Linked DNA regions of Macaca mulatta. The protein of the gene in region 1 binds, or shares a complex with, the protein of each later gene. Links are inferred from orthologs where the notes say so. Each region holds a gene or a part of one and is shown on either strand. Other genes may lie near its edges. The genes, in order: GBA1 and SCARB2.

Evidence for each region.
Region 2: the proteins of GBA1 (region 1) and SCARB2 are in contact, whole or in part, in a cryo-EM structure (PDB 9FJF), measured with the Homo sapiens proteins. The link is inferred for Macaca mulatta from reciprocal best matches to the Homo sapiens genes GBA1 and SCARB2. Residues at the interface, in NP_000148.2 of Homo sapiens: Leu130, Asn131, Ala134, Ile169, Glu190, Lys194, Leu195, Pro430, Arg434, Ile445, Thr446, Asp448; in NP_005497.1 of Homo sapiens: Lys161, Ala162, Tyr163, Gln164, Lys181, Glu183, Leu187, Phe191, Arg192.

Annotation. Positions count from the first base shown.
Region 1 is NC_133406.1:111,751,207-111,755,026, forward strand, and holds part of GBA1 (lysosomal acid glucosylceramidase), read left to right. Parts: intron 1-922; exon of another isoform or gene 923-2,016; intron 2,017-2,262; exon of another isoform or gene 2,263-2,363; intron 2,364-2,676; exon of another isoform or gene 2,677-2,797; 5' UTR 2,798-2,845; coding exon 2,846-2,863; exon of another isoform or gene 2,864-2,864; intron 2,865-3,229; coding exon 3,230-3,317; intron 3,318-3,820. UniProt on the Homo sapiens protein: Glucosylceramidase that catalyzes, within the lysosomal compartment, the hydrolysis of glucosylceramides/GlcCers (such as beta-D-glucosyl-(1<->1')-N-acylsphing-4-enine) into free ceramides (such as N-acylsphing-4-enine) and glucose.
Region 2 is NC_133410.1:57,640,112-57,643,931, forward strand, and holds part of SCARB2 (lysosome membrane protein 2), read left to right. Parts: intron 1-947; coding exon 948-1,039; intron 1,040-1,568; coding exon 1,569-1,688; intron 1,689-3,162; coding exon 3,163-3,332; intron 3,333-3,820.

The DNA.
Region 1 (3,820 bases):
GTAGTCCCAGCTACTTGGGAGGCTGAGGCAGGAGAATTGCTTGAACCCAGGAGGCGGAGGTTGCACTGAGCTGAGATTGTGCCACTGCACTCCAGCCTGGGTGACAGAGAGATACTGCATCTCAAAAAAAAAAAAAAAAAGAAAGAAAAGCGGACTGGGCGCAGTGCCTCACCCTGTAATCCCAGCACTTTGCGAAGCCAAGGCAGGAGGATCCTTTGAGTTTAGGAGTTTGAGACCAACCTGCACAACACAGCAAGACCCTGTCTCTACAAAAAATACAGAAATTAGCCAGGTGTGGTGATGTCCGCTTATAGTCCCAGCTCTTCTGGAGGCTGAGGTGGGAGGATTACTTGAGTCCGAGAGGCAGAGGTTGCACTGAGCCGAAATCGAGCCACTACACTCCATCCAGGGCAACCTATGGAGACCCTGTCTCGAACAAACAAACAAAAAATTGCTCAGTACCTGGCCAAAAAAGAAGAGGCTCACTATTCAGAGGGAAAGAGGAAGGAGATGGTTGGACTTCTAAACTCAATAGAGCAGGAGAGGCAAATGTAGAATGTGCTCAGGAAATATCTGTGAGATGAATGAACGTGAGGGAAGTAAGGTACTAGATATTGCCCTACCCAGAACAAATCCTGTTCAGCATTTCCTTGAAAAGTGAGAAGTCTGGAAGGGGTGGATACTGATAGAGTGAAGCAACTAATTCAATTCTACAACTTGACAGCCACACCTGTGCCAGGCTGTCTACAAGGATATTTAGAATGAGTAAGACATTCCTTCAAGGAACTCCAGGAACACAGGCCTAACATGTTGCGATGTTTAGTGTCAAGCAGTGCACTAGAGACACATTATCACACTCAAACTTAACAACAATTCTCTAAGGTAGGAATTATCACTCCCCTTTCATAGATGAAACAGAGGCTTAGAGTGCTTGATTTATTGAAGGTCAAACAGCCAGTAAATGGTGTAGCCAGGATTCCAACCTTGCCATCTCACTAAGACTGTACTTAATTACTGGAGGGACCGGGTGTGGTGGCTCATGCTGTAATTCCAGCACCTTAGGAGGCTGAGGCTGGTGGATCACCTGAGGTCAGGAATTCGAGACCTGCCTGGCCAACATGATGAAACCCCATCTCTACTAAAAATACAAAAATTAGCTGGGCATGGTGGTGGGATCCTGTAATCCCAGCTACTCAGGAGGCTGAGGCAGGGCAATTGCTTGAATCAGGGAGGTGGAGGTTGCAGTGAGCCGAGATCACACTGCACTCCAGCCTGGGCAACAGGACAAGACTCGGTCTCAAAACCAAAAAAAAGAAAAGAAAAATTACTGGAGGAACCTAGAAGAAGAAATGATCAATTTTGCTTGGGGTGTATCTAGAAAGATTTCACTGAGGTCATTTAAAGAACAAAAAAGATGGCTGGGGTCCAGCACGGTGGCTCATGCCTGTAATCCTAGCACTTTCGAATACCAGGGCAGGCAGATCACCTGCGGTTCAGAGTTCGAGCCTGGTCAACATAGTGAAACCCCATCTCTACTAAAAATAAAAAAATTAGCTGAGCGTGGTGGCAGGCACCTGTAATCCCAGCTACTTGGGAGGCTGAGGCAGGAGAATCACTCGAACCCAGGAGGTGGAGGTTGCAGTGAGCCGAGATCATGCCACTGCACTCCAGCCTGGGCAACAGAGCGAGACTCTGCCTCAAAAAACAACAACAACAAAAAAATACAAACAGCAGACAAGTAGTTCCCAGGTGCCTACCAAGTGGTCAGGCACTGCACTTACCTCACTGACTGCAGTAACCACCCTTTGAGGTGGTGGCATTGCCTCCATTTTCCAGGCAAGGAAATAGACTGAGAGCTGGGGTTAGTCAGGTCATGACTGTGTGTGCCACTCCCGCTAAATCTCATTTGATGTGGTTCGTGAGGCCACAGCACGACAACTTCCTCCTTGTGTCCACTGAGGATACGGCTTTGTACAACACTTTCTGGTTTCTGAACTACTTACAAACCTCCCTGTCCTGTGAGAAAGGAAGAACGGTTATTACCATCTGCATCTGATGATGAAACAAAGGACGCTGCAGAGGAGCCACACTAACCACTCCTTCCCTCCAGTCCTGTCATCCCACTGCCGGTGTCCCACCCTCCTTGCACCCTGCACTTGACCGGCTAATAAGCCCCCTCACTTTTTCCTCTGTGAAGCCACCCTAGATAATTCCCCACCCACGAATGGTCCCTCCTCATCTCAGAGAGCTCTCCATGCACACCTGTTACCGTTTCTGTCTTTATCTGTAAATATCTGTGTGTCTGACTTCCATGCCTCACACGCCTCTATAGGGCAAAGACTGTGTCTTAAACATCTCGGTATTGTCAGTATTTTGCACAGTGAAGTTTTTTTTTTTTTTTTTTTTTTTTTAAATCATATCAGCTTTATTTGTACCTTTTCTGACATTTCTATCAAAAAAGCAGTGTGCCTGCCTTAGTTCCCATTCTCTGGGATTTAGAAGCCTCTACCTCATTCTCCACCCAAATCTGTGTTCTAGGCTCTTCCTAAAGTTGTCACCCATACATGCCCTCCAGAGTTTTATAGCGCATATAATCTGTAACACATGGGAGGAAGCCAATTGCCCTTTAGAAATATGCCTGCAATTGCCTCACTTCCTGTGTCATGTGACTCTCCCAGTCATCACATGACCCATCCATGTCAGGAAGCCGGAATTACTTGCAGGGCTAACCTAGTGCCTATAGCTACGGCAGGTACCTGCATCCTTGTTTTTGTTTAGTGGATCCTCTATCCTTCAGAGACTCTGGACCCCTGTGGTCTTCTCCTCATCCAATGACCCTGAGGTGATGGAGTTTTCCAGAAAGGTAAGAGAGAGCTCCCAATCAGCATTGTCACAGTGCTTCTGGAATCCTGGCACTGGAATTCAGTGAATGACAGACTCTCTTTGAATCCAGGGCCATCATGGCTCTTTGAGCAAGGCACAGATGGAGGGAGGGGTCGAAGTTGAAATGGGTGGGAAGAGTGGTGGGGAGCGTCCTGATTTGGGGTGGGCAGAGAGTTGTCATCAGAAAGATTGCAGGGAGAGCTGCACCCAGGTGTCTGTGGGCCTTGTCCTAATGAATGTGGGAGACTAGGCCATGGGCAGCCAAAGGCAGCTAAACTCTGCCCAGGAGAGTAGTTGAGGGAAGGAGAGGGGCTTGCTTTTCAGCCACTCCTCATTCTGTCCTCAGGAATGTCCCAAGCCTTCGGGTAGGGTAAGCATCATGGCCGCCAGCCTCACAGGATTGCTTCTACTTCAGGCAGTGTCATGGGCATCAGGTAAGTGAGTCAAGGCGGTAGCGAGGTAGCACAGAGGCTCCCTTCTGCCTCGTAGTCCTTTGGTAGCCTTCCAGTACTCTGGTGGTAGACTTTTAATAGGTGCTCAATAAATCCTTTTGAGTGACTGAGACCAACTTCGGGGTGAGGATTTTGTTTTTTTTTTTTTCTTTTGAGACAGAGTCTTACTCTGTTGCCTGGGCTGGAGTGCAGTGGTGTGATCTTGGCTCATTCCAACCTCTACCTCCCAGGTTCAAGCGATTCTCTTGTTTCAGCCTCCTGAGTAGCTGGGATTACAGGTGGCCACCACCATGCCCTGCTAATTTTTGTATTTTTAGTAGAGATGGGGTTTCACCATACTGGCAAGGCAGGTCTCAAACTCCTGACCTCAGGTGATCCGCCCACCTCGGCCTCCTGAAGTGCTGAGATTATAGGTGTGAACACCTGCCCTGGCCAAGGGGTGAGGAATTTGAAACCGTATTCAGTCTGTCCTAGTGGATGTGTCC
Region 2 (3,820 bases), on another chromosome or scaffold:
GTGAATTCTGTTTAATTTTTTTAGGAACCGACAAACTCTTTTCTGCAGTGACGGCAACATTTTTATATTCCTGCTAGCAGTGTATAAAGGTTCCAATTTCTCCACATCCTCACCAACGCTTACTATTTTTTTTTTTTTTAATTGCCATCCTAGTGGGTGTGAAGTGGTATCTCATTGTGGTTTTGATTTGCAATTCCCTAATAACTAATGATGCTGAACATGTTTTTATGTGCTTTTTGGCCATTATTATATTTTCTTTTGGGAAATGTCTCTTCAAATCCTTTGCCCATTTTAAAATTGAGCTCCTACTTTTTAAAACCATAAAATAATAATATGGTTAATATAGTATTTAGCAAAATAGTCACTATTTTCTGGTCCTGGTTCAGTCTTGTGTAGCAGTTAGGCCCTAGTAGGACAGTTTCATGAAGATTAAATTTTTTAGTTACTGTATTAGTTAGGGTTGCCAGAGAAACTGAATCAAGAGGGTGTGTATATGGAGATGAGAAAGAGGGAGAGAAAGAAATTTATATTATGGAATTGGCTTATGTGATTATGGGAGCTGGTAAGTCTGAAATCCATAGGGCATGCCAGCAGCTGGAAACTCAGGTAAAAGTTGATGATGTGGTCTTGAGTTTGAAATCTGTAGGGCGGGCTGGAACCTGGAAATCCAGGCAGAATTTCACTGTTGCAGTCTTGGGGAGAATTCCTCCTCTAGGAAACCTCTGTTTTTGCTTGTAAGGCTTTGAACAGATTGGATGGGGCCCCGCCACTCATTGAGGGTAACTTCGCTTAAAGTTAACTGATTGTAGATACTAATCACACCTACAAAATACCTTCACCGCACCATCTGGGCTAGTGTTTGACCAAACAACTGAGCACCATAGGCTAGCCAAGTTGTCATCAAATTATCGCAGTTACTTTAAATGATCGTATTCACGTATTTTCAGAAAAATGGGACTAATGATGGAGACTATGTTTTTCTAACTGGAGAAGACAATTACCTTAACTTTACAAAGATTGTGGAATGGAATGGGAAAACGTAAGTCTAATGATTTATCAGTGGAGTTATTTTTTCAGTTTTCATTTAAACTACATATCTACTTCTACATTGTTTAAAAAATGTGTTTAAGCCTTTTTTGGATGAAAAATATAAAAACATGTAAACAGTCTTGTAATTATTATTCTACAAATCAAGGTGGTGGTAAAACATCTTACAGAGTAAATATTCGTGATTTGTAGATTTATCATGGCCAGGCATGAATTACAGGCCAGTGAAACTTCCCACTCTTGCTTAGTAGTCATTGAGTGATGTGTAGTAGCTACAGCACAAATACTTTTCAGACCACCACATGTTTTGGGCTATTTGGCCATTGCCTCTATGAAAACTGATTTGGGGCCAGGGACCTACTTTTTCTCCCCCTTGATCTAATTAACACTGTTGTGTCTGTGTATGGAGAAGACACTGTGTGTAGATAGCTCCAGTTAAATCTTGCAAAGTCCTGACTGTTTAAGAGAATCTAAACTCAAATGTGATCATCTTTACTCTTTCTTGCGCTTATCAATTATAGGTCACTTGACTGGTGGATAACAGACAAGTGCAATATGATTAATGGAACAGATGGAGATTCTTTTCACCCACTAATAACCAAAGATGAGGTCCTTTATGTCTTCCCATCTGATTTTTGCAGGTAAAAGCTTTAAAGATAAGTTCTTTTTTAAAAATAAGGTCTTTCACTGCAAGACCACTAAAAGCATGAGGAATATATGCAGACACACTTATTATGCATGGATATTTATGCTTAATCAGTGATACATGCTGATGGCACATCGAGACAGTATAGTGTACTGGTTCACAGCACAGACTCCTGACTGTTGGTTTGAATCTTAGCTGTACCACTTATAGCTGTGTGACCTTGGGCAAATTACTTAACCACTCTGTACCTCACTTTCCTCATTTGTAAAACAAAGATAGAAATTGTTAACTATGTTAGAAGTTATGAGGACAAATGAGTTAGTATTAGTAAAATACTTAGCCCAGGGCTTGTCACACAGTAACCAATATTAAGTGTTGGCTGTTAGTTACTATGATATGCTCTGTCAAGCTTAAATTGACCTGGCCTACTTCCAGTCAATAGGTTGTCTCTACATGGAAGCCAAATAGAGGATACTATTGTCCATATTTCAGGAGAGTGGTGTCCTCAGGGGAGACAGAGACGGAATGGAATCAAGAGCATTATGTAGATAGGTTTGGTTATATCCATAATATAATTTTTATTTGTCTAAGTGGCGGATACAAAGGTATTTGTTAGAATATTTTTTCTCTTTCTGGTGCCTAAAATATTTCATTAAAAAATGCTGTGGGGGTGGTTCGTGCAGTGAAACCACCTATGTTATTCATAACCTTGCGAGAGATGTATCAACAGCTCTGGTTCAGAGATGAAAAAGTGAGGCCCAGAAGGCTATTCCGGCCAGCCTTCACAGGAGGGCCTGAGGCTCACTGGTGACTGTACATCGAAGTGGTCTGTGAGGCACTATGCAGTGTAAGCAGTGGTCATATTACACGGGACCATGTTTGAAATCAGTAAGAATGAAAGGCAGAATTACGTTGAACTCCATTTAAATAAATGACTGGGGCAAAACATGGAATCTGATTTTTTTTTTTTTTTTTTTGGTGGGGGGAAGGAATGAATATCAAAGTGTATATTCTAATAAAATATCTGCTCAGTGTAACACTTTTCAAGTGCCCCTACAAGGCCACAGCCATCGCTGCCTGTTCTACCTTAGCTTTGGCTCTGCCATGCCCTGGTTTTCCTGGCTTTGCTGGTGACCCGTCCGCACTGGCATGTGTCCATGCAGGTCTAGAGGCCTCTTATTTTTTATGTGAGTCTCCATTCTAAATGTTATCATCTTAATTTTCTACCACATATTGTTTTTTCTTGTTTGGATAATACCTCCATTGCTACCACTTAAACACCTTTCACTACAATTCATCTTCTGCTTTATTACACGTTGAGCTGACAGAATGCCTTCCAAACATTCTTTTCTACTTACCCTATGAGCTTCTGGCCACGTTGTACCTGAGAACTGTTGCTAACTTGTGAATTTGGGGCAGATTACAATGACCAGAGTCCACATTCACTTTTTATTCTTACATCCTAACAGGTCAGTGTATATTACTTTCAGTGACTATGAGAGTGTACAGGGACTGCCTGCCTTTCGCTATAAAGTTCCTGCAGAAATATTAGCTAATACGTCAGACAATGCTGGCTTCTGTATACCTGAGGGAAACTGCCTGGGCTCAGGAGTTCTGAATGTCAGCATCTGCAAGAATGGTAAGAACTCAAGAGAGGGGGTATGATAGGGGTGTCAAGAATGCAGAAGGATTGGAGTTCAACAAAGAATATGTAGCTGGGCATAGTGGCGCACACCTACACTACCAGCTACTAAGGATGCTGAGGTGGGATGATCACTTGAGCCCAGGAGTTCTAAAGTCCATCCTGGACAACATAGTGAGACCCCTATCTCTAAAAAACAAAACAAACAGAAAAGAATATGTTGTCAGCCCAATAGAAAGATCAGTTTCTTTCAAGAATAATGTTTCATAACATGGCTATTGAATGGTAAAAAAAATTATTGGCTTTTCTGTGATGCTTTTTATTTCTAGAATGCCATGTCGTGTTTTTTTTCTGGACAGTGGTTTAGAAGTCTTAACAGTAATAATAGCTCATGTTTACTAAGCACCTGATGTATGCCAGTTGCTGTCCTAAGTGCTTTACATATTTGCATGTATTAACTACATGCAAAACATTAACTGATTTCA